4 linked regions of the Cricetulus griseus genome follow. The protein of the gene in region 1 binds, or shares a complex with, the protein of each later gene. Links are inferred from orthologs where the notes say so. Each region holds a gene or a part of one and is shown in the gene's direction. Other genes may lie near its edges. The genes, in order: Ap3d1, Ap3m1, Ap3s1 and Arf1.

Region 1 (5,455 bases):
CAAAACCATCCCTACTCAGGGTTTCTGTGAGGTCTCAGGGGCTGCTCTGCCCAGCATAGGTCTGCATCCCAGACCCCAGAGAGGAACAGGGACTGTATGTGAGCCTGTCTTAGGTAACAGTACTTCAGGCCCAAGAGCTACTCCTGTTTGGGAGGGTGGAAGAACCAGGCCAGATCCCCTGGCTCCCCATGGCCCAGCTGGTCCAGCTGCCTTCTGAAACACAGTCATGTCGGGCCTCCTGTGAGCCAGGCAGCTAGGCCCCTGGTGGTGGGGATGGGTTAGTAGGGTGTCAGTGTCTGACGCAAGGCACTAAACTCATCCTCATGTGTCCCAGTGCTCATCTCGCTGTCGTCCGGCATGCCCAACCACAGTGCCAGCATCCAGGTGCGTCTCTCAAAGACAGGGCCCACACAGATCAGCAAAACTGGGTCTTACGGGTGGCCAGGCCCCAGGGCTCCTCAGCCAGTTGGGAAACCATTGTGATTACCTCCAAGTTCGTTTTTCTCCCACAGCTGAAATATAAAGGAAGTCCTCTAGCCCAACCCTCCTTAGGCACTCCTTTCCCTTTCCCCAATGCACCTCCACCTGCCCTTTGGGGACCAAATGCAGTGTGCCTGGGCAGCTGCTCTGAACATGGGATGCCCCCACTTGCCCTCACTGGCACCTGCAGATCCATTCTGTCATACTGATCAGGGCCCCCAGTGAGAAGGCAGCAGTCACCTGCCCTGCCTGTACCCAGATGCATGCCTTTGGTCAGGGCTGGTAGCAGGCTGCAGGGCATGGTGGTGGGGTGGATGGAGATCAACTTGAGTCCTGCCTGGGAAGACATGATCATTGTGACATTCCTCCTCAGCTCTGCGTTCAGAAGTTGAGGATATTGATAGAAGACTCAGACCAGAACTGTAAGTCACCGCCACCTACCAAGCAGCCACACTTGAACACCATGCCTGGGATTCGTAAACCCCGTACCTGGGGGCCCTCTGCCCTTTTGCTGTCCTTATGCTTTCCAGCATGATGGTTTTGTGGGTTGAGTGCTGGCTGTCACCATGGGGGGGAGGCACCCTGAAAGATGGGATCTGTGCTGAGCAATGTGGAGACACCAAACATGAAGATGATTTAGGAGGCTCAAGCTTAGTTGCTTGAGCACACTAGTGTGCCAGACCTTAGGTCCCAGACCTACCTGCACTCAGAAACCAGGTGTGGGCCACAGGCTTCAAGGTCATGTTTAGCTCCCTAATGAGTTCAAAGCTTGTCTCAGAAATAAAGTAAATACTGTAAGGTCTGTGCCTGAGGCCACAGCTGCATTTTAGCAAGCAGGAGGCTGAGGCAGGAGAGTCAGGAGTTCAGGGCCAGCCTGGTTCCACAGCATGACCCATCTGAAAATAAAACAAGAGGGCTGGTGAGATGGCTCAGTAGATAAAGGGGTTTGTCACCATCCTGATGGATGCCCTGACTCCTTCCCTGATCCCATGTGGTGGGAAGAGAAATGACTCCTACAAATGGTCTTCTGATCTTGACGCACATCCCAAACAAATAAATGTGATTGTTTTTCATTTGAAGGAAAGGGAGGCATAGTATGCGGGTACACACCTGTTATTGTAGCACTTGAGAGGGGGAGGGGGAGAGCCAGGGTTCAGGTCCAGAGGCCTCTGGCTAGCATCTGCCTGGTCCTCAGGGAAGCATGCAGTGACCTGCTGCTGCCTTCCTTGTATCTCACACTGCTCCAAAATGGGGTCCATGTCAGTGGCATCTACTGTACCCAGACCAGATGGCAGGTTGAGCCTCCAGTGTCTGCTGTAGTCCAGTCCTTACTTCCCCACCCTCAGCGTAGACCACAGGGTCTCAGCAGTTCTCAAGTCAGTGCTGTTGGAAAGCATCTCTAGGCCATCTGTAACAAAGGAGGCTTCTGAGTGTAGAGCTGTCGTCTGTGCTTTTTCTGCAGCCTCTCCCTGCACTGGGCTAGCAGCCTCTATCATTTCTCTAGCAGTGACCTTTAGAACATGTGGGCAAGGTCCTCACACCATCATTGGGGTTCTTGTTTGGGTTTTTTTTGACTTTTGTTTTGCTTTTCAAGACTGTGTTTCTTTGTATTCTCCTGGCTGTCTTGGAACTTGCTGGGATTAAAGGCATGAGGCATCATGCCTTTGTTGTTTTGTTTGAGGTTTTTTTTGTTTTTTGTTTTGTTTGTGTGTTTTATGTTTTTTTGTTTTGTTTTGTTTTGTTTTGTTTTGTTTTGTTACACAGACAAGGTTTCTCTGTGTAACCCTGACTGTCCTGGAACTCAGGCTGGCCTCGAACTCACAGAGATCCTCCTGCCTCTACCTCCTAAGTGCTGGGATTAAAGATGTGTGTCACCAAATGCCGGCCTGCACCACTACCCAGCCCAGCAGGGTTCTTTTTTAATATACATATTTTCAAATTCTTCATAAGTTTTTTCATTCTTAAGTATGTGTTCATGTGTGGGTCTGTGCTTGGAAAAGCCAGTGCCTGTGGAAATGGAGGCACCTGATATCCTGGAGCTGGAGCTACAGTCAGAGCTACCCAGTGTGGGTGCTGGGAACCAGACTCAGAGCCTGCCTTGTCCTTATGCCTAGAGGACTGTGCCTGTGGACCGTGCTGTGACACGGCTTCCACTTTGGCTTCTTGGGGTGGCGGGCATAACAAAAGCGGCCATCACCTGCAGGCAACACCATCTGGGTGGAAGTGGCGATACATTCCCCTATTGCACCCATTGGCCATGGTATTCCACTCTGTCTGCAAACTAATGGCCACTTGGTCTCCACAGTAAAGTACCTGGGGCTTCTGGCCATGTCTAAAATCCTGAAGACACACCCCAAGTCCGTGCAGTCTCACAAGGACCTGATCCTGCAATGCCTGGATGACAAGGACGAGTCTATCCGCCTGCGCGCTCTTGACCTGCTCTATGGAATGGTATGTGTTCCTGTTCCCAGAATGGGGAGCCTTCGAAGCTTCTGAGTCACTCTTCTGCAGGCTGGGACAGCAGCCTGAGCCACTGGGGTCAGCAGATGGCACCTGTCCTACTGTAGGGAATGGGGCCTCTGTCACCTTCCCTTGGTCAGACATGCATGATAAGCTGACTAATGTACCCAGTGTGACTTCTGCTGTCTGTGGAAGAACCTGTCCCTCCTGGGCTTACGAGCTCAATCTCAGCTATCATCTCATGGCTGAACATATCCACCTGTGCTGACCAACCAGCTCTGCCCCCACAGGTGTCCAAGAAGAATCTGATGGAGATCGTGAAGAAGCTGATGACCCATGTGGATAAGGCTGAGGGCACCACCTATCGTGATGAGCTGCTTACCAAGATCATTGACATCTGCAGCCAGTCCAACTACCAGCACATCACCAACTTTGAGTGGTATATCAGCATCCTTGTGGAGCTGACACGCCTGGAGGGTACCCGCCACGGCCATCTCATCGCTGCACAGATGCTGGATGTGGCCATCCGCGTCAAGGCCATTCGCAAATTTGCTGTGTCTCAGATGTCTGCACTGCTTGACAGTGCCCACCTGGTGGCCAGCAGCACCCAGCGCAATGGCATTTGTGAGGTGCTCTACGCTGCTGCCTGGATCTGCGGGGAGTTCTCGGAGTGAGTTGGTGCAGCCCTTAGAAGTGGCCCACTGTGGCCTGGTGGGGGGACATGTGGGCAGACCCTCTGCCTGAAAGATGGTTGGTTACTACTGGGTGGCCCCACCCAAGTGACTGACTGTCCCTTCATGGTGTGGGGTCACATGGCTGTGAAGAGGGTGCCCTCTAGTTCATAGATCTGTTCTGCTTCAAGAGTCATCCTAGCTGGGCAAGCTGCCACCCTCAGAGCCAGGCCTCACCATACAGTGGTGATAGGCCTGCTCCCACCAGCCCGGAGATTGCCCTGGTAGAGCTCCATAGGGCAGCTGCTGTGCCCTCATGCCAGGCTCCAGGAGCATGTGGGTGGGTGGACTGGGATGGCTGTAGCACTCCATGCCCCCTGGTATACCTGGCTTAAAGGACACGACAGCGGTGACCCAGAGCAGATGTGGATTTGTTGTTAAATATCCAGGCTGTCAAAGAAATCTACTGGGAAAGTAACAACATTTCCTTAGCACCTCCCATTGCCTTAGAGTCAGCCCACAGGAGCTGCCTATCAGTGCTCCTTGGAGGGTCCAGTGGGGAGTCTCCTCTCTGAATCCCGCAAGGCAGCCACAAAGTGCACATGGATGCTGGGAGAAGTTTATTGATGCGTCCTTGGTTTTGTGGTGCTGGGAATTAATTGCACCCAGGACTTTGTTCATATCAGGCAAATGCTCATTACCAAAAATATTGATGGCAGCAAGTGAGCCATACAGGTCATCTGTGTCTGCTGGTGACTGTCAGATATTTGCCATGGTTTCTTGAACCATGTCCTTTTTTGTGGAATTGATGGTTCTTGGTTTTCTGCTTCTGCTCAGTGAAAGTGAGTGCCCCAAGTTTGTGCTTTTGCTGAGAAGCCTAGACCCCCACATCTCTGGTCTGACTTCCTTGAGAGATAGGCCTGTGAGTGTGCTCAGTAGCCTCATGCAGCCCCTGTCCCCCAGGCACCTACAGGGACCCCAGCAAACCCTGGAGGCCATGCTGCGGCCCAAGGTCACCACACTGCCTGGCCACATTCAGGCTGTGTATGTGCAGAACGTGGTAAAGCTGTACGCATCCATCCTGCAGCAGAAGGAGCAGGCTGCCGACACTGAGGCTGCACAGGAGGTTACCCAGCTACTGGTGGAGCGGTTGCCGCAGTTTGTACAGAGTGCCGACCTGGAGGTGCAGGAGCGGGTAAGGCCTACAAGCTGGAGATTTTGCTCACGGTTGAGATTAAACCTTAAAAGGGCAGTGTCAGAGAAGGTGAATAGTGCCATGGCTCATGCCCTGTGACTACATCCAGGGCTAGTACGGTGTCAAGTTGGAGTGGGGGGGTGGCCTGCTCACACCTCAAAGCTCACAGGCAGCAGGGCCTCCAACAAAGGTACCCCCTGAAGATTCCTCAGCTACTGCCACACACCTCCAGCTGGGTCTGGACTCACAGGGTGGGTAGTGTTACTTACCAAGGACCCCCATGTCTGGAGATGCTGTTGGTCCCCATCTAGGTCCTTGTTCCAGACAGAGTCAATAGATGGGAGTTATTGAAGTCTATCCTAGCCCTGTCCATCTGAGGTTTAGGGTGTGTGAACAGGGATTGTGGTGTGGATGGGCCTGAGAGCCAGGCTAAGAGGTGGGCAAGGCCCTGCTACTTCTGGGAATGTTGGTTTGTGAACCCCTTTGTTTGTTTGTTCTGGGACAGTGCTTGAACCAGTTGCCTGTGTGTCTCAGGCATGTACTTTGTCACTGAGTCATACCCAGCAGGTGGCCAAGGTCCTGGGCTGACACCTGGGTAGTGGGGCCTGGTGAGCAAGGCTGCTCCTGGCACCCCATGGTAACGTAGGTT
Region 2 (5,936 bases), on another chromosome or scaffold:
AAATAAGAATTATTTCCCTAAAGCTAACTGAACTTCTCACAGATTACTCACAGATTCTTTCCCTGACATCTATAAACACATCCGTTAATTTACTTGTTCCCCAGTGACTTATTCTATACATTAAATTGTGCTAATAATTTACAAGCCGTTTTCCTTAAAAGTTAAAATTGGTGAGAACCCTTAACGGCCAGGCAAATCATAGAGTAATTCACCCTAAATGTATTATCATACTCAATCCTGAAAGGTAAACTAATACAGTATAATAAAAGTAGGAAATCAATTGCAGAAGTCTCTGCATAAAACTCAAGATTTGTTCCCATAGTCAAAATACCTAATCTTTTAACTTCACCTCTGCAGATGGCACTGAGTTAGTATTAAGTAAAATGAACTGTATTCATCTAGATTATTTACAAGTTTTAAATAGATACAAAGGACAGATATGTGCCTGTTTCCTTTTTTGGATAAATTGAGATAATAATAGAAATGATTTTATTGGGTTGTTATGGTATTGAGTTGAAAGATGTAGAATGCAGAAACAGAAACTAGCATATACATATTTAAGTGTTAAACATTACCATAGAACCTTTTTAAAGATACATAGGCCGGGCGATGGTGTCCCACGCCTTTAATCCCAGCACACGGAAGGCAGAGGCAGGCAGATCTCTGTGAGTTTGAAGCCAGCCTGGTCTACAGAGAGAGTTCCAGGAAAGGCTCCTAAGCAATACAGAGAAACCCTGTCTCAAAAAACAAAACAAACAAACAAAAAAAAACCATACATAAGCAAACAGAGGTATTTCTCAAATATTGTGTAAACACACTATAATCAAATAATAAACTTGCATCCTGATACCCTGGGTTCCAATTTCCCTTCCTTAATTGAACTTCAATATTCTCACCTGTAAACTATGAATAATCCCTGCCGTTCTTTCATAGAAGCTTCTTTTTATCATTACTACAGATGGTAAGCATTGTTAAAATGAATCATTATTATCTATAAAGTATTGCCTTTTTAAAAGAAAATCTAAAGAGACAGTATTTACATAATGGGGGCGGGACCACATGTGAAGGTCAGAGAACAACGGAAGTCCAGCACGTGGGTCCTGGAGTCTGAACTCAGGTCATCGGACTTGGCAGCCAATGACTCTTATCTACTGAGCCATCCCACAGGCACAGATAATCTAAAATTTAAAATAAAACAACCTCAGAGTTTTTGCGCACAAAAACCCTCTAAGAATTTTAGAGTAACCATACTTTAAAGCCACTGGAAAGGATTTGGTCATCACCCATTTCACCAAGAGCATGATATAAGGTCCCTACCTAACCTTTTCTTTTCAACTGTGAACAAATTATTCTTTTGAATGGAAAAGATATGTTGAAATAAATGGGATCTGTCTCAGTAATAGCCTCACAGTTTTAAATCAGCTTGATGTGTCTATTTTTAGGTTGAAAAAAATCACTGCCTTCCAATGAGCAATTCAAAGGCATCAAAGGTTGCACACGCTAGACTTATTAGGAAGAAATGCTTTTTAACATAAACGGCTTTTTATAAGTGAAACTTGCAACATCAATTACATGTGTGTCAGGTGTTGGGAGAGCGCTTTCTCCACTGTTGCCAAATATGCAAAGAAAAGCAAACAAAAACTTTCCTAAACATTTAGCCAAATGCTATCCTAGCCAAAGTCTCTGAGTCGGATTGTGGTCCCGGTTTGGGGGGGTGGGGTCTCCGAAGATGATTTCAGAGAGGTGACCAAAAGAAGGTCGAAAACACTCCTCCGCAATGCCTTCCGAAAAACCCCAAGAATTTTATCTTTCACCAGGGTCCAGGGGGCACTGGACTCCTTCCCGCTATACCCCAGGCCAGGATGCAGCTCCAGACGAGTCCTTTGGGGTCGCGCTAGAGCGGCCCGCGAGGACTCGCACGTGGCGCCAGCGGTAGGCTCGGCCCCCGGACCGGCCGCTCTGATTGGTCAATGGCTGCCAGGGCCGGGAAAGCACCTGAGCACGGTTCAAACCAAGGGGTCAATGTGCAGCCACGAGGGCAACTCCCCGAGCTGCAGGTCCCGCGTGTTGGCCCCACGAACGCAAACACCACGCAGCAGCGCCAGCCCACGTGGGCCTTGGCTCGCCGCAAATGCCGTCTCCCTCCTCCCCACGTTGGCGGCTCTCACCTCAGCGCTTGTGGCGCTTCCACCTTCAGCTTTTTGGGCTTTGGCTCCTCAGCAGCTGCCATCTTCGCACTCTCACCCTAGTTTGGCACTATCGCGCGTCCCGCCCCTCAGCCCTGTGGCTCCGCCCCCTCTACTCGTCACCGCCCCTTATCCTAAGCCCCGCCCCTTTTAGCCCCGCCCAATCCGTGACTCTCTAGTCCATAACCATTGGCTCTGCGCGTATCTGATGTCCCGTCCATCCAGGGCCTCGAATACTACGGTAAGGGTCCCCAAACAGAGTTAGGCTGCTGGTGAGCGCCTGCGCTCAGGGAGTGCCAACCTCCCCGTTCTTCCAGACCTCGAGCAACGCAGAAGATTCAGATCCTCAACCTCGGGAGACATTGTTCCTCTCACTGAACGCCTTTCCGCCCATTTTATCTTCCTAGTCCTGCGGCCCTCCTTGGCGTCTCTGAGGCTGCTAGTCAGGCAATCTGTTGGGCACCCCGAACACGGGGTCCTCGCTGCTTTCTCTGCTGCTTCAGCTTCGGTCCAGAGAGGACCCGGCACCGAATCACTGACTCGCCCAGGTGTCGGGGTGAGTGTGAGGGCGGGGAGTCTGCGGGCTGGAGACCGCTCAAAAGCTGGGGAGTAGACTGCATAGCTCAAGCTCAGGGCACTAGCCTGGGCTTCAGCGGCGTCCCTGCTACTGTCGGCCAGGGCCAGGGCCGGGCCTCCTTACGCCCGGCCTTCCGGGCTTTCTAGCCAGCTGGGCCGGAAGGGAGCGGCACACCTGCCAAGTAGGGTTCTCGAACCCTGGACCCCAGGCGCAGGGGGAAAAGGTCTTGTTATCTACAGTGAGGTGGAATACCGATGACTTGAATTCACCAGCCCCCAGATTTGGCCTTGGAGGGCAAAGCTTCTGCTGAGTCTAAAAGAACGTCCTGTTTAGAGGGTGGCATCTGGGTGAGCGAACCCGGGATGGGAAAACCGTAAGAAGGGTGTTGCAGCTTCTCGTGAGATAGATGACAGGGCTGTAAACTGGGAAGATGGAAACGTAATGAGTGGTGGGCTTATTGTCAGTCGTGGATTTGTTTGATCCTGAAGCTTTAACTTCATGGTTGAGAAGTTGGTCACTGTAAAAATCCGGCCTTCTCAAAGGAAAAGAAATGGTTGTGGTTTTTTTTTTTTTTCTTTTGTTTGTTTGTTTTGCAACACTTGGGATTTTGACTTGGAAACACAGTACACAGGAAAAGGGAATTTCTTGCAGCCAAATATACAAATCTAACTTTCTATTGAAAGAAGGAAATGTCCCTTTTCCTCAGAGAGGACAAGTTCTTTCACCTATTTTACCAGTGCTATTATCTGCTGCTTCTCAGTGTCCTTCTTTCAAATTTTTTTCATTTATGTTTGTTGTATGTGTGTTAAATGCCACAGTAAACATGTAGAAGTCAGAGGACAACTCTTGGGACTGGCTTCTCTCCTTCATGAGATGCTTGGGACTCAAACTCAGGGCCTTGGGCTTGGCAGCAGACACTCTTTCCTGATGAGCTATCTCAGTCTCCTTTGTTTTTACCTACTTGCCACTTCTATCTAAACACCACACTGCAATGTCTCCTTTCCAACAGTCTACAGAGCTACCCCTAAAATTACCTCAACCAAGATTGCCGATGTACGCTTGGCCTTAAACCGTATATTCTTGGTGTGGATTAAAAAAAACAAACAAAAAATACTACTTTTTGAATCAGGAGAGATGGCTCACCAGTTAAGAGAGTTGGCTGCACTTTCAGAGGACCTAAATTCAATTTCCAGCACTCTGTGGCCAACAGTTATCTGTAACTCCATTCCCAGAGGATCTGACCCTTTTGGCCTTCTTGGGCACTGCACGCACGCACAGTGCACAGATATGCATGCAAACAAAACACCTGTACATATAAAAATTTAAAGAAAATTTAAAAACCTACTTGGTGAGGCACCAAAACTTTTTCATGCATGAGACTACAATATTATTTTTTTCTAAATTTGTGTGACAGGAGTTGGAAGATGATGCTGAAGAGATGGCTCAGTAATTAAGAGAACTTGTAGAGTTCAGTTCCTATCACCCACATTGGATGACTCACAACCACCTATAACAACAGGGGATCTGATGTACTATTCTGGCCTCTGCAGACACCTGAACTCTCATGGCATATACTCACAGAAGTGCATACACATAAAAACAAAATTAGAATTAAAAAAAAAATGGGTTGTGAGCTGCCTAGGATGGGTGCTGGGAACCCAACTCTGGTCCTCTGCAAAAGCAGTGACTGTTTTTAATCCTACTCTACTGTGCCTCCAACTTCAGGAGATCTACTGGCCTTCTTGGGCACTGCACTTACATGCACAAACCAACACTTGACTACACATTTAAATTCATGAAAAAAATCTTCAATTTGTAGGGAGCTGTGTGACTGACTGAGGGGTAAGAGATTAGACTTTTAAAAGATCCTTGGTAGGGAAAAGAAAATTGTAAAACTTTTTTTGAGATTTATCTTTATTACTTTTCATTGTGTGTGTATTTGCATGTGGGTATGTGCTCATGAGTACAGTGTCCGTGGATATCAAGAACAATGGATCCCCTGGAGCTGGGGTTAGGCTCTGCCTGACATAGGTGGTAGTGCTAGGAATTGAATCTGAGGATTTTTTTTCTTTCAAGACATTTCCAAGATGTGGTTTCTCTGTGTAACCCTGGAACTCACTTTGTAGACAAGGCCCTTCTCTGCCTCCTGAGTGTTGGGAGTAAAGGTGTGGGGCACCACACCCAGCCAGAGTCTAAGTCTTCTGTACCTTCTCTTTCTCCCATTCTTCTGGAAATGCATTACCATACTTTAATTACTCTAAATCTCCCACAACTCTTCCCCGCTTCAACTACATCTTAGTCTGTTTTTAGTTCCACTTCCTTGACTCACATGCTACTCAAATACTGTTTTTGCTTTTGTGTGTGTTTCTTACTATGTGCATAATTTCTTTGTATATAATCCTTATATTTGTAATTCCCATTAACAACATACCAGTCTTTTTGAAGCACCATCCAGTGATTGAATAATATACTTATTTGAATCAAATATATTATGAATTGGGTCAAATTTATGTATGGCTAGGTCTTAATACATCAGATTTCATCTTATTTCTACACAACATAGCCAAACTTAAATACATTTTTGCTCAAAGCCTGTTCGTTTTTTGGTTTTTTTTGTTTGTTTGTTTGTTTTTTCTTTTTCATTTTACTCCATCTTGTGAACCTTTTAGTCCAGGCCCCTACTGTTGCTCATCTCGTGTGTGTGTGTGTGTGTGTGTGTGTGTGTGTGTGTGTGTGTGTGTGATACATATGCTATGTATGCATTTATATAGTACACCATGTGAGTACAATGCCTGTAAAGTCCAGAAGAGGACATTGAACCCCTGGGGACTAGAGTAACAGACAGTGGTTCTCAACCTGTGAGTTGCCACCCCTTTGGGGGAGGTGGTCTAAGACCATTGGAAAACACATCTTTACATTATGATTCATAACAGTAGCAAAATTACAGTTATGAAGTAACAACAAAAATAATTTTATGATTGGGGTTACCACAACATGTGTTTTAAGGGGTGGCAGCATTAGGAGGATTGAGAACCACTAGTTGTAAGGGTGCTGGGAGTCAAACCTTGAGCCTCTGGAAGGGCTGCCAGTTCTCTGAACTGGCAAGTCATTCAGCCCCACTATCACACATCTTAACTGGTGTTACATAAGTCAGTGCCTTGTAACTCAATTTC
Region 3 (5,455 bases), on another chromosome or scaffold:
TACTTTCATTGCAGTAGTAAACTATAGTGAATTGTTCCCCCTTTTCATCAAAAAATGTTGGGTTTCACTTCTGTAATTTGAATCTGATTTCCAAGGACACTTCCCCCCCCCTTTTTTTCACATTAAAATGACTTATTTTCAGAATGTCTTAAAATGCTGTTAAACCTGTAAACTTAATCCTAATACATATGAACTATCTTTTTTCAGAGTGAAGATACACAACAGCAAATCATCAGGGAGACTTTCCATTTGGTGTCTAAGCGAGATGAGAATGTTTGTAATTTCCTAGAAGGAGGATTGTAAGTAAAGCATTTCATGGGTATTTCTAATTTCCAATGTGTGATGAAAGTATATACTACTAACCAATTTATGATGGAAATCTCTCATTATAACTAAATTAGGTAAATTAATTGCTGTCATTGTTAGGTATAACTGAATAGTCTTTGTAAAAATTTCCCTCTCCCAGTCTTAGTCCTTTTCCCCAATTTCTTGTGTATTCTTCTAGAAACTGCACTTTGTATTTCCTGACATATAAAAATGTAACCTTAAAATATTTTACTATTAGATCACAATGTTCTTTTTCATGTTGCTTTTTTGCTTAATATTTTGTAAAATTTTGCCTGTAAGTACATCTGGAGAAATGGAACTTAACTAGTAAAGGTGCTGGCTGCTAACCCTGATGACCTGAATGTGATCTCTAGGACCTACACAGTATAAGGAGAGAACTTATTCCCGAAAATTGTCATGTGACATATGTATATTCACATACACAAATAAATAAATGTAACACATTTTTTAAAAACTTGAAACATCATTCTTTCTAATGATGAAATTCTTAGGGTGAATGCACCCTAAGGTAAAAATTCAGATTGTATCCTTTATTTTGTTATAAACAAAGTCAATAGTCCATTTTTCAAATTTATCTATTTACCTAATATATCCCTAGTATAGATTCAGCCAGTGGATGTTTCTATTTTTAAAATGAAAAAATTAGTTTGCAAACTAAACAAATACTGTAAATCTTTCTTTTTTCCTTTTCATTGTTTGCTGTGTTGGGAATTAAACCCAAGGCTTTGTGCATAGGAGGCAGGTGCTTTCCTACTGAGGTGCATCCCAAACTCTAAATAAATACTTTAAATGAATGGGTTCTATTGAAAGCAGTTTACCTCCAAATATTTCCATAAATGCTTCCTCCCCAGTTACATAATTAATATACTTAATATTGTCTCATTGAGAATTAAAACTAAATACCAGTAAAGCCTCATGAATGGTAAGGTGCATATTATAAAAAAAAAAAATGTCAGGGCAACAGAACCCATTTTTGTCTGACCAAATGGTTTTTTTTTTTTAATCATGTGGAAAGTTTATTTGCATTTTAGCAGAGAATTTGTCTTTATTTGCATTTTCAACATGTTATATCATGCTGCACTTAAAATATGTAATGCATATTTATGATTTGTAGATTTTGGTGTTAACCCCCTCCAGACTCTAAATGACAAAGGCAGCCACTTGTTCTGCTTCTGTTAAACCTCTGTAGGAATCTGGTCATCTTTGCCACAGCTTCTCACCTCGTATAGTGTGTTGCATGTGGTAGAATGGTGAGGACCAGAGTGATATAAAGAGGGCCCTGTTTGGATGGAAATTATGCTTTGAAATTGAGATTTTTTCCTAACCATATAAAAAATGAGAAACAACTGCTGTGCCAGAGATGATGCTACCCATCTATCTTCATTGTAGTTTTGAACCTGGCTAGCCAGTTCCCTTGGCCAGATTGTTCAAACTCTTGGAAGTTCATTTCTCCTTGAAATATTAGGTCTAAGAACATATCAAAAATTATAAATTTCTGTTTATAAAATTTTACATGCTGTTTTTCACTTCTATACTGTCTAGTGTTTTTTTTTTTTGTGAACTTGACACAAACTAGAGTCATCAAAGAGGAGAGAGCCTTAATTGAGAAAATGCCTCCATAAGATCTAGCTGTAAGGCTTTTTCTTAGTGATCAGTGTGGGAGGCCCAGCACACTCTGGGTGGTGCTGTTCCTGGGCTGTGGTCCTGATTTCTATAAGAAAGCAGGCTGAGCAAGTCATGGGTAGCAAGTAAGCCAGTAAGCAGCATTCCTCCATGGCCTCTGTATCAGTTCCTGCCTCCAGGATCCTGCCCTGTCCTGAGTTCCTGTCATGACTCCCTTTAGTGAAGGACTTCTATGTGGAAATGTAAGCCAAGTTAACCCTTTCCTCCCTGGCTTGGTTTTTCATCATAGCAATAGAAACTCTAACTTAAGACAATTTCCTACAAGAATTTGTATCAGAATTAGACTAGTTTAAAGTGAATTTATGTTTTCAAGGCCAACTATGTCCTTGCCTTTCAGAGGTCTTTGAGCGTTAATCTACTTTGTAACCCATTTTTCAGAAGCATGATATTTTAAAGCAAAACAAAAGACAACCTACAGTGAAACTGCTGCTTATTTCGCCCCTTCAGGGAACAGTTTTAACTTTTGTTATAACCAGTCTCAGAATGTTTAAAGTGTACATACAGACTTTTAAATTAAATCCTCTCCAGACAAGTAACCTAGCATAGTAAGAGTCCTTCATTTTTCCCCACCAAGATCATTTGTTTTTGCTCTTATGGGACAAGGAAGTAGTATGTACTTAAGAGAAGCAGTTTCTATAGAGCTTGTAATTTTATTGTTATATTTATGGAATAAGAAAAATGCCACACCCTATATTGTTGTGAATGCTCCCTTAGTTTGATTGTATTTAGGCTGGTTTTAAATTATGTTAATGTTGAAGTGGTCTTGAGAAGGTGAATTTGGTATTATAAACGACTATTATACAGCTAAAGTGTATTTGGAGAAATATAAGATGCCTCAGATGATTCCTAAATTATTCTTTTAAAAATGCTGAATTCTAATCAATATGAATAAAAGTATTTGATGAAAGAATTGAGTATTCATTGGCCCAGTGTTCTTACATTTAGATTTAAGAACAATGTTTTTGGAGAGCATCTTAATGCTAAGTCTGTCTGAAACTTAAGAAATACTCTTATTTTTTTTTCTAGCTGATAATCAGTCTAGCTGTGTATTTTACTGTGACCTATGAAGTTACATCTTGTAAGCACTTGCACATGCTCTGTGATCTGTTTTTTTTGCCTGTTCCTTCAGCATTATTGTTTACTAATCTATACTTGTCTACTGGCCTCTTGTCTCCTTGAAAGTGCATATTGTTTTGATAATGGCCCTTTTCAGCCATTGCTACTTTACCCCACGATACTCCTCTCTTCATTTTTCTGTGGCCCACCCGTAATGATTAGATGTCAATCTAAATGTTTCTCTCTCTCCCTCTCTCTCTTTCTCTCTCTCTCAGTGTTCATTCTGAAGTGCAAAATCCATGGATATGCCAGACCTGTCTTGGTTCTCTGTGTGACACCTTCCCCTACCTGTTAACTTTCTTGTCTCTTTACTTGCTATCAGTGACACACCATACTTACTCAGTAAATACTTTAGTGAATAACTAACTAAAATTTAGTACTGGCTTTTTTACTTGTAATTTCTGAAGAAAATTGCTGTTTTAATTTACTTAGCTTCTAAAATTTACTTGAATGCTATGCCATTGTTACATTTTGTTTTCTAAAAGGTTTTAACAAATGTAATTTTGCTTGAGCTAATGAAATGGTCTGCATTTGGTCCCTACACCATTTTAATTGTTTTGTCATTTAGATTAATTGGAGGATCTGACAACAAACTGATTTATAGACATTATGCAACACTATATTTTGTCTTCTGTGTGGATTCCTCAGAAAGTGAACTTGGCATTTTAGATCTAATTCAGGTAAGTTAACAGTTGCATCTAAGCTACCTTTAGTTTTTTTTTTTATTATATTTTTATAAACTTAAGTTTAAAACTTTATAAAAAAAACGTGTTTTGTTTGATAAGAAGTGTTCCATAGTTGATAGGAGGTGGGTATGCTGTGACCTATTGCCTGACATAAGTCATGTTAGAAGAAAGGTTTATTTTGGTTCACAGTTCTGGAAGTTTCATCCTGCCAGTTGATCCCATTGCATCTAAGTCCACAGCAAAGCAGTACCCTAGTAGAAAAGCATGGCAGAGGAATACTGCTGTCCTGGGAAGCAGAAGGGCCAGGGACAAGATAAATATTTCAGAATCACCTCCAGTGGCCCCCTTCCTCCAACTAGGTTCCACCTCCTGATAACTTGTTTAGCTATGAACTTGTAAGTGGATTAATTCACCTAGAAAGACAGTACCTTCATGATCCATATCAAGGATGTAGAAACTAGTCTGACTAGAACTAATTAGAACTAATTTCATCTGACCCTAAAGACTTAACTCTCCTAGTCTCCTGAAAAGCTTTTGTAATGTCCATAGAACTCAAGGTTAGTTATAAGAAAATGGACATTTTGTTTTTATTTTTTGGCTTTTCAAGGCATGGTTTCTCTGTGTAGCAGCCCTAACTGTCCTGGAACTAACTTTGTAGACCAGGCTGGGCTCAAACTCACAAAGATCTGCCTGTCTCTGCCTCCTGAGTACTTGGATAAAAGGTGTGCAACACCACGGCCTGGCCAAAAAATGGATATTTTGAACCTCACATGTTAATACTACTTCAGTTCTTTAAGTCTTGCTTTGTCATTGACTTCAACCTTCACAAGTAACAGATTGTGTGTGTGTGTGTGTGTGTATGTGTGTTTGCTTTTTCATATTATTGAATCTAGAGATGTATTTGTTTCTTCCAGAATATTTTCTTTTAAAACATCTCTAGATTTCATGTTATCAGACTTGTCTTCCTCCTACATATTTAGTTGTAGTCATCAGGATTTTGTCAGCATCTGTCAAGGGTTTGAGATTTTCCTCCATTTGCAAGCTGACCTACAGTATAAAGGATGGCTGTAGAAGATGGGGCAGAAGACTTCTTGCATTACTAACAACAAAAGCATTATCCACAAAACACACCAAACCATGCTAACATTTGTCTGCACTAGTTCTCAGTCTCAGAAGGGTGCTGTGAAGGAGCCAGGTGATGCCTGCACCCTAGTAGCTCATCACACAGGTGGGGGATCCCAAGCTTAAGGAGCTGAAATTCTATATAATGGGTAAATCATGACTGCTCTGGGAAGGATGAGATTATCTTTAAGGGAAAAGGTGAACTTGTCATTTTCTTTGGAGGAAAACACTATTTTTTCCCAGGCTGTTTGTCAGTGTGACAGATTTGAAAAGATAGTCCAAGACAGATAGCAATTATCTCTATTCACAAGATTGTAGAAACCTAAAATCTGTAGATTTTTCAGAGTTGTTTTCTACTCACTGGCATTCAGAACAAGAGTGAATGTGTGAAAGTTCTTGGGGACTTCGGTGTTCCCATGTACAACATTCAGTAGCCTTATGTCTTCAAAACTGGAACTACAATCCTTCAGAGTTTGCCTTCTGCTCCAGCTATCTGTTCA
Region 4 (6,231 bases), on another chromosome or scaffold:
AACAGCTCACACAAAGGTGATCTCAGCACTTGGGATCACACACCTTTAATCCCAGCACTAGGGATGTAGAGACAGGAGTGATGTGGCTGGGCAGAGAAAGGAATATAAGGCAGGAGGAGACAGGAACTCAAAGGATTTCAGTCTGAAGCTTGGTGGAGAGCAGTGCAGTCTGCGTTACACTCTGAGGATTCGTGGAGACAGGATCACCCATTTCAGTCCTAGGTAGAGTAAGAGCTAGTGGCTGGCTGCTTTTCTTTTCTGATCTTCAGCTTGAATCTCAATATCTGTAACTGGGTCTTTTATTATTCGTTTTACAATTTTTTAAAGGATTTATTTATTATGTGTACAGTGTTCCGCCTGCATGTATGCCTGCAGGCCAGAAGAGGGCACCAAATCTCATTACAGATGGTTGTGAGCCACCATGTGCTGGGAATTGAACTCAGGACCTTTGGAAGAGCAGGCAGTGCTCTTAACCACTGAGCTATCTCTCCAGACCCCCTGTGTTACAATTTTTAAAAGATACTTTTTAATTGTATGTGTGTGTAAGTGCAGATGATTGTGGAGGTCAGAAGCATCAGATCCCCCAGAAATGGAGTTATAGGCAGTTGGGAGTTGGGAAAGGAACTTGGGTACTTTGTGAGAGAAGTATGTCCTCTTAAGGGCTGAGCCATCTCTTCAGCTCAGTTGTCCAATTCCCTTTTTAATATACACTTCGGGATGGAGAGATGGTTCTGTGCATAAGACTATTTGATGCTCTTGTAGAGGCCTTGAGTTTGGTTCCCAGAATACAAATGGCAACTCATAAACACCTGTAACTCCAGTTTGGATTTATTTATTTTATTTATGTATGTGAGTGCCTACAAATATGTATGTATACCACAAGAGTGCCTGTTGCCTAAGGATGCCAGAAGAGGGAGTCAGATCCACTGGAACTGGATATATGATTCAACACTCAAAGTTTATGTGCAATATGAAAATTTCACTGGAGGTTTAAACCCGACCTGGGGAGGTGGGAAGAACCTATCATCCATTGAACATTATTAAGTATCCATAATGGCTATTTAAGTTTTTAATGGACACAAATAATTATTTACAGGGTATAGTGAGTTTTGGGGCATGAATGTACAGTTGCCAGGTTAGGATAAATGGATGGACTACCACCCTATCTATTTTGCCACAATTTTATCTTTTTAGGAACAGAAAGGGTTTGTTCTTGATTAGTAATCTGTAGTTTTCCTTGACACTCTGTATCTTTGTCTTCTCATCTATAAAGTGGCTGTGACAGGCTTCTTATATGGCTGGGATCACAGGCCTCTGGGTATGTCCTGCCATTTTTCCAGGGAATGAAGAGCTAGCACCACCCAAGGCTTTGCATGAATACTTGCTGTGTGTTGAGGGTGGGAGATCAGGCAGTTATCTCCATAGAAACTTACAGAAGTGGTACTTAAAAACCGGAGGTCTAAAGCCAGGCGGTAGTGGTGGCACACGCCTTTAGTCCCCACACTTGGGAGGCAGAGGCAGGTGGATCTTTAAGTTCAAGGCCAGGCAGGGGTATGCAGAGAAACCGCATCAAGAAGGTGACCATTTCCTAGAACCCTGACAAGTTTAGCACCCACAACTCTTAAGAGAAAGCTCTGGAGGTCTCAACCCCCCAAACAACAGCGAGGATGCCTGGACACAGTGTGATTGATTAATCTAGGCCCATGTAACAGAAGTGCCTCCTGCCAATTCAACAGATAGGGCTCCAGGTTTTTTTTTTTTTTTTTTTTTTAAATGCCCTAGGTCCCTCAACATCTCTTGCCTGTGGGATTCCTCACAATAAATGAGGTGGAAGAACTGGACAGGCCTGACAGAGCGTGGGTCTGATTCCTGCATAGATGGGGAGGCAAGCAGATTTCTGCTGCTTCTGACCAGGCAGGGAAGGCTTCTCAGGGAGATGTAACAGGTTCCTCCTCTCCTGCACCCTTCAGGAGGCCACCCCATCAGGGGCAACCTAGAGTACCCTCTCAGGCGGTGCTAACTCCACACAAGTCTTTGGGTCAGCTCTGAGAGTGCACACAGGGCCAAGGCTAGCGTAGGGGCACGGTACCTATCTGACACTTGGTCTGCGCCTCTTTCCGCTCTGGCTACTTGTCAGTGATATCATTATCTTCAGTGCCCAGGGCCAGCTGGAATATACCTCTGAGAGGAACATCACACCCCCTCAGTGCTGACACGACCTTCCCACTCTGACCTTGGCGCTCTAGAACGCTTACTGTCCTCAACCCCCGCATCCGAGGAATGGGCAGGAATTCCGCAGGAAGGCGCGCGTGCGCACGCGTCGATGGACACGGAAATCCACCCACCACACCCTTGTGCGTTCTAGTCCGGGGAAACCGGTGTGTGCTAGCCCGGGGCCGCGATCCGGAAGCAGAGCGACTTTGGCCCCGCCCCGTGAAGGCTACTTGGTGCAGACGCGCAAGCGCCATTCATCTAGGGGCGGGGCCTCAGGCGTGCCCGCCCTCTTCCCCCGGCGTGCCCCGCGGCAGGCGCTGACGTGGCTGCCGTCAGCGCCGCCATCTTGTGGGAGCGAAACCAACGCCTGGCTGGGAGCAGCCGCCGCGGAGGTGAGGCGCTGGGCGCGTTGGGGCTGAAGCTGGGGAGGCCACGGGCTGGTCATCGTGGGCGTCGAGGGGCGCTCGGTTCAAGCTTCTAAGGGCCGAGTCTGGTCGGGCGGGCCGGGATCTCTGTCTAGCGGACCTGACGGCAGGCCGGGCAGTGGATCGGGGCTCCCCCAGTCCCGCGTCGCCCACGGCCGCTTGGCCCTCCCCCACTCCGCGGCCCATACGCCTGGCCGCCAGCCGCGGGCCGCAGCCCGGAAGTCCGGCCGGGACGCCGGCTCCATTCCAGGAAGCCAGGTTTCCTGCTGTTCCTCTCTGCGCCTCTCCTAGGTTCCACGGCCCGGGAGCTCGGGAACGGGGAGCAGGGCTCGAGGGGTACGGGGGGGGGTCTCCCTTCTAGAAGGGCTAGCCGGAAGCTTCAGATACGGCACGGACCTTGGGGTAGGGGAAACTGAGGCTTGGGTGGCCCTCAGACGGCGTCAAGGTCACTCGGGTGGCGAGGTCTTCCTCCTCTGTGTCTCGAGTCCGGTTCCTGTCGGCCCGGAGGACCGGAGCTGTAGGAGGTGAAGGGCTGGGACCGGTGGAGCGGGGCTCCGGACTGCTGAACCGGGTGCTTGGATTTAACAAGCGCATATGCGGATTTCAGTGGATCCCAAGTGCCCACTCTGATCCCTAGTGAGCCGTGATTTGTGCCCCACACTTTTCTGGTGAGATCTTCATTGAGGTTTGCACTCAAGGGCCCGGTGGCCTCTGCAGGAGTTGAGCCTTGTTTTACCTCTTGACTGACCCCCTTGATGCTCCTTTGGGTGGATTAGAAAGGCCCTTCTGAGTTGGGGAATCTTTAACCTGGCCGTGGAACAACCTGCTCCCAGGTTCTGAGCAATCTGCTTGTAACAAGAGGCCAGATCCAGTGTACAGTTCTGGCTGTCCAGTCAGGGTGGCCATGCCGTGTCGGACTGTATGTAGCTGAACCGTTGCATGGTACCTAAGTGGGAGGGATTCTCCCTTCCAGCAAGTGGCTGTTTTGCTGGAAAAGAAAGGGGCAGCTGCTCCTGTTCCCAGAAGGCACCAGAGAGCCCAGTAGTTGATGCCACAACCAATGTTGGAGTAGTCCGTTGTAGTTCTTGTTTCACAACTAGTGGTCAGCAGTTTTTCCTGCAGGCTGAGTCTGCAGTGAGTGTAGAACAGAAGACTAGTGAGATGCCATGGTGCTTTGGGTGCTGACTCCATGTCCTTTCTCTGTCTTAACCAGTGTCTACAGTACCTGACATGGGTGACTGCCTGTAATGTCCTCACCTTTGAGCTTTCAGCAGCACTGTCTCACATAGCCTGGACTGTGAGATTTGATGAAGAGTGTTACTCTCTGACTTCTCTGTTTTCTCCAGAGTTGTGAGCTGTGTGGTGTAAGGGCCAGTCACAGATTTGTGAGCTACATTGTTGTAACTACATTGTCTCCTTGGCATGAAGGTTTCTCTTGATGGAATGTCTATCGCTTTCATCCCTAGGTATCTTGTTGAAAATGAGTCTGACTCACTGGTTCACCACACTGTTGTCTTGCTTGTGAGGCAGATGTAGAGTTGCTACTTCAGAAAGGTTTAAGAGCTAGGGGTAGAGTGCTTTTCCTAGCTTGTATAAATGGTTTGGCTCTCTAGCACTGCACACACAAGGTTTAACTGTGAATAACAGCTGACTCATACTCAGTCTACTTATCCTGGAAGGAAGGTAGCAATAGCTAGTTCTGTGCCCCTCATTTACAGTTATAAGTCATGTAGCTGAGATGTCCACTATACCTCTTGAACAGTAATTCCTTGTAGAGAGGATCTTTGTTCCATTTTGGTTGTTGCCTCAGCCCAGGACCAGGCAGGATTCAAACTACAACCTTTTATTTATTTTTTTCTTTTTTTAAGGTAAAGGTAACTTAGACCAGCAGTTACTGTGGTGACGACCCAGTGTCAGGCAACCTAACCAAGAGAAAAAACTTGTTGTGCAGGTTCATGCAATAGCTTGTCAACAATGGTTTGAGAGTATTGGGTCAATGTTTTTCAGATTCCTTGAATTAAGTGTTACATTAATGTGCAGGGTTTTTTTATTTTGAGACAAGGTTTCTCTGTGTAGCCCTGGCTGTCTTGGAACTCTCTCTCTCTGTAGACCAGGCTGGCCTCAAACTCTGAGATCTGCTTGCCTCTGCCTCCCTAGTGCTAGGATTAAAGGCCTAAGCCATCACTGCTCAGCTTGATGTACAGGTTTAAATCTACTGTTAATCACAAGGGCTGTCTATGTGTGTCATTTGCACTGAGGAGCCCAACAGACCCCTGCCTGCTCTAGTTTGCTATGTCATTCATGGTCTGTCTGTCTGTCCATCCCTATTTTCTCTCATGAATCCCTTTGACTTTTGATCTTCATGAAATTGTCAGTGATGGTGAGGAGAGAAACATGAAAATTCCTTTTGTGTGTATGCTGTATCTCCCCTGTCTCTCTGTCTCTCTGTCTCTCTCTCTCTCTCTCTCTCTCTCTCTCTCTCTCTCTCTCTGTGTGTGTGTGTTTGTGTGTGTGTGTGTGTACACATATACACGCATTGGGATTTCTCACTACACACTGAGGTTTATGTTCAATATTGATTGTGATACAGATTGCAGGTAATAGCTTGTGGTGTTACTTGTTAGTGTAGGACCTTTTAGGTGTTCACCACCCTGTCCTACTACATATACAAAGAAGTGATGATACTAATTAGGGCCCATCTTCCACAATATTCTTATCTGGTCCTGTTCCCTGAAATTTTTACTCACATTGGTAACAGGGCTTGGCTGCCTGTCAGTAGCCAATATACTAGGAAGAGTGGCACTCCCTGCAGGCCCTGATATAGGGAACGTTTTCAGTAGTAAGAGGAATTGATAGAAAATAGGAACATAGGCTGTTTATGGGGAAGAGTTTGACTGTGTAGTTTGTAGTACAGGTTTGCCCTAAACTCCTGCCCCAGCCTCTAGAGATTACAGCCTGCTGGGATTACAGGTGTGTGCCCCCATGCTAGGCAGGCATATTTTTATAGACAGCAGTTGGGGGTGATTAAGTTTATGTGGTAAACAGCTCCCCATATTTCTGAGGATCTGAGAATTACTGCAGTATAGCATGAGTGAGACTTGGTTATTAAGGAAACTTTCTTAATCAGTATCTATAGAGGTAAGTATACATGTTAAAGGGATGCTAGCAAACTAGTTCTTTCCAACAGGCTCCTTGTGCTTGATGGCTGTATGTTAAACAATAACTTTTTGTCAGTATCAGTTGTCAAAATATTTTTGCAATGGCTTATACTGAAACAGGGAAGTTTGTGGCCCAGATTCTCTATGTGTCCTCTGACAAGTTTTTCTTTCTTTCTTCCTCTCCACCCCCTTTTTAAAATTCTGTTGGTATGATTTAGGTGCTTGTTTCCAAGAAAAGGGTTGAAAAGGGTTTCTAGATTTTAGTGAGAGTCATTGCTGAAGAATGAGAATGAAGGCAGAGCTAGATGGCCTGCAGTGTGTGTTCCTCTGGAGCTTCCTGTTCTGTAGATAAGAATGCTCTTCTTTCTTGTTTGATTCCAGGAGCTTATATTTAAAATACTCTGTCTTCTAATGACTTTGGTGGTAAACTTCTG

Evidence for each region.
Region 2: the proteins of Ap3d1 (region 1) and Ap3m1 are in contact, whole or in part, in a cryo-EM structure (PDB 9C5C), measured with the Homo sapiens proteins. The link is inferred for Cricetulus griseus from reciprocal best matches to the Homo sapiens genes AP3D1 and AP3M1. Residues at the interface, in NP_003929.4 of Homo sapiens: Lys29, Glu388, Gly389, Thr390, Thr391, Arg393, Glu429, Arg432; in NP_001307192.1 of Homo sapiens: Ser25, Ser27, Asp30, Tyr31, Glu34, Pro52, Asp104.
Region 3: the proteins of Ap3d1 (region 1) and Ap3s1 are in contact, whole or in part, in a cryo-EM structure (PDB 9C5C), measured with the Homo sapiens proteins. The link is inferred for Cricetulus griseus from reciprocal best matches to the Homo sapiens genes AP3D1 and AP3S1. Residues at the interface, in NP_003929.4 of Homo sapiens: Leu18, Gln19, Val22, Arg26, Cys60, Thr63, Tyr64, Gln66, Met67, Leu68, Gly69, Tyr70, Asp71, Ile72, Ser73, Lys87, Phe88, Thr89, Arg92, Ile93, Leu96, Gln100, His103, Tyr126, Leu132, Thr133, Ser136, Tyr161, Lys164, Lys165; in NP_001275.1 of Homo sapiens: Met1, Lys13, Pro14, Arg15, Leu16, Ser17, Lys18, Phe19, Pro22, Tyr23, Glu25, Asp26, Gln28, Gln29, Arg42, Asp43, Glu44, Asn45, Val46, Cys47, Asn48, Phe49, Ser80, Glu81, Ser82, Glu83, Leu84, Gly85, Leu87, Asp88.
Region 4: the proteins of Ap3d1 (region 1) and Arf1 are in contact, whole or in part, in a cryo-EM structure (PDB 9C5B), measured with the Homo sapiens proteins. The link is inferred for Cricetulus griseus from reciprocal best matches to the Homo sapiens genes AP3D1 and ARF1. Residues at the interface, in NP_003929.4 of Homo sapiens: Lys48, Asp50, Phe77, Ile80, Glu81, Ser84, Asp107, Met110, Leu111, Thr112, Thr113, Asn114, Gln115, Arg117, Lys118; in NP_001019397.1 of Homo sapiens: Tyr35, Ile46, Pro47, Thr48, Ile49, Gly50, Phe51, Asn52, Val53, Glu54, Trp66, Lys73, Ile74, Leu77, His80, Tyr81, Gln83, Asn84.

What each region holds. Positions count from the first base shown.
Region 1 is NC_048598.1:101,500,045-101,505,499, reverse strand, and holds part of Ap3d1 (AP-3 complex subunit delta-1), read left to right. Parts: intron 1-334; coding exon 335-384; intron 385-853; coding exon 854-902; intron 903-2,785; coding exon 2,786-2,931; intron 2,932-3,230; coding exon 3,231-3,610; intron 3,611-4,574; coding exon 4,575-4,806; intron 4,807-5,455. UniProt on the Homo sapiens protein: Part of the AP-3 complex, an adaptor-related complex which is not clathrin-associated. The complex is associated with the Golgi region as well as more peripheral structures.
Region 2 is NW_023276807.1:199,929,563-199,935,498, forward strand, and holds the start of Ap3m1 (AP-3 complex subunit mu-1), read left to right. Parts: upstream 1-2,390; 5' UTR 2,391-2,394; coding exon 2,395-2,427; intron 2,428-2,478; exon of another isoform or gene 2,479-2,742; intron 2,743-5,936. UniProt on the Homo sapiens protein: Part of the AP-3 complex, an adaptor-related complex which is not clathrin-associated. The complex is associated with the Golgi region as well as more peripheral structures.
Region 3 is NC_048595.1:191,306,081-191,311,535, reverse strand, and holds part of Ap3s1 (AP-3 complex subunit sigma-1), read left to right. Parts: intron 1-207; coding exon 208-299; intron 300-3,715; coding exon 3,716-3,827; intron 3,828-5,455. UniProt on the Homo sapiens protein: Part of the AP-3 complex, an adaptor-related complex which is not clathrin-associated. The complex is associated with the Golgi region as well as more peripheral structures.
Region 4 is NC_048600.1:73,284,972-73,291,202, reverse strand, and holds the start of Arf1 (ADP-ribosylation factor 1), read left to right. Parts: upstream 1-2,465; 5' UTR 2,466-2,606; intron 2,607-6,231. UniProt on the Homo sapiens protein: Small GTPase involved in protein trafficking between different compartments. Modulates vesicle budding and uncoating within the Golgi complex. In its GTP-bound form, triggers the recruitment of coatomer proteins to the Golgi membrane.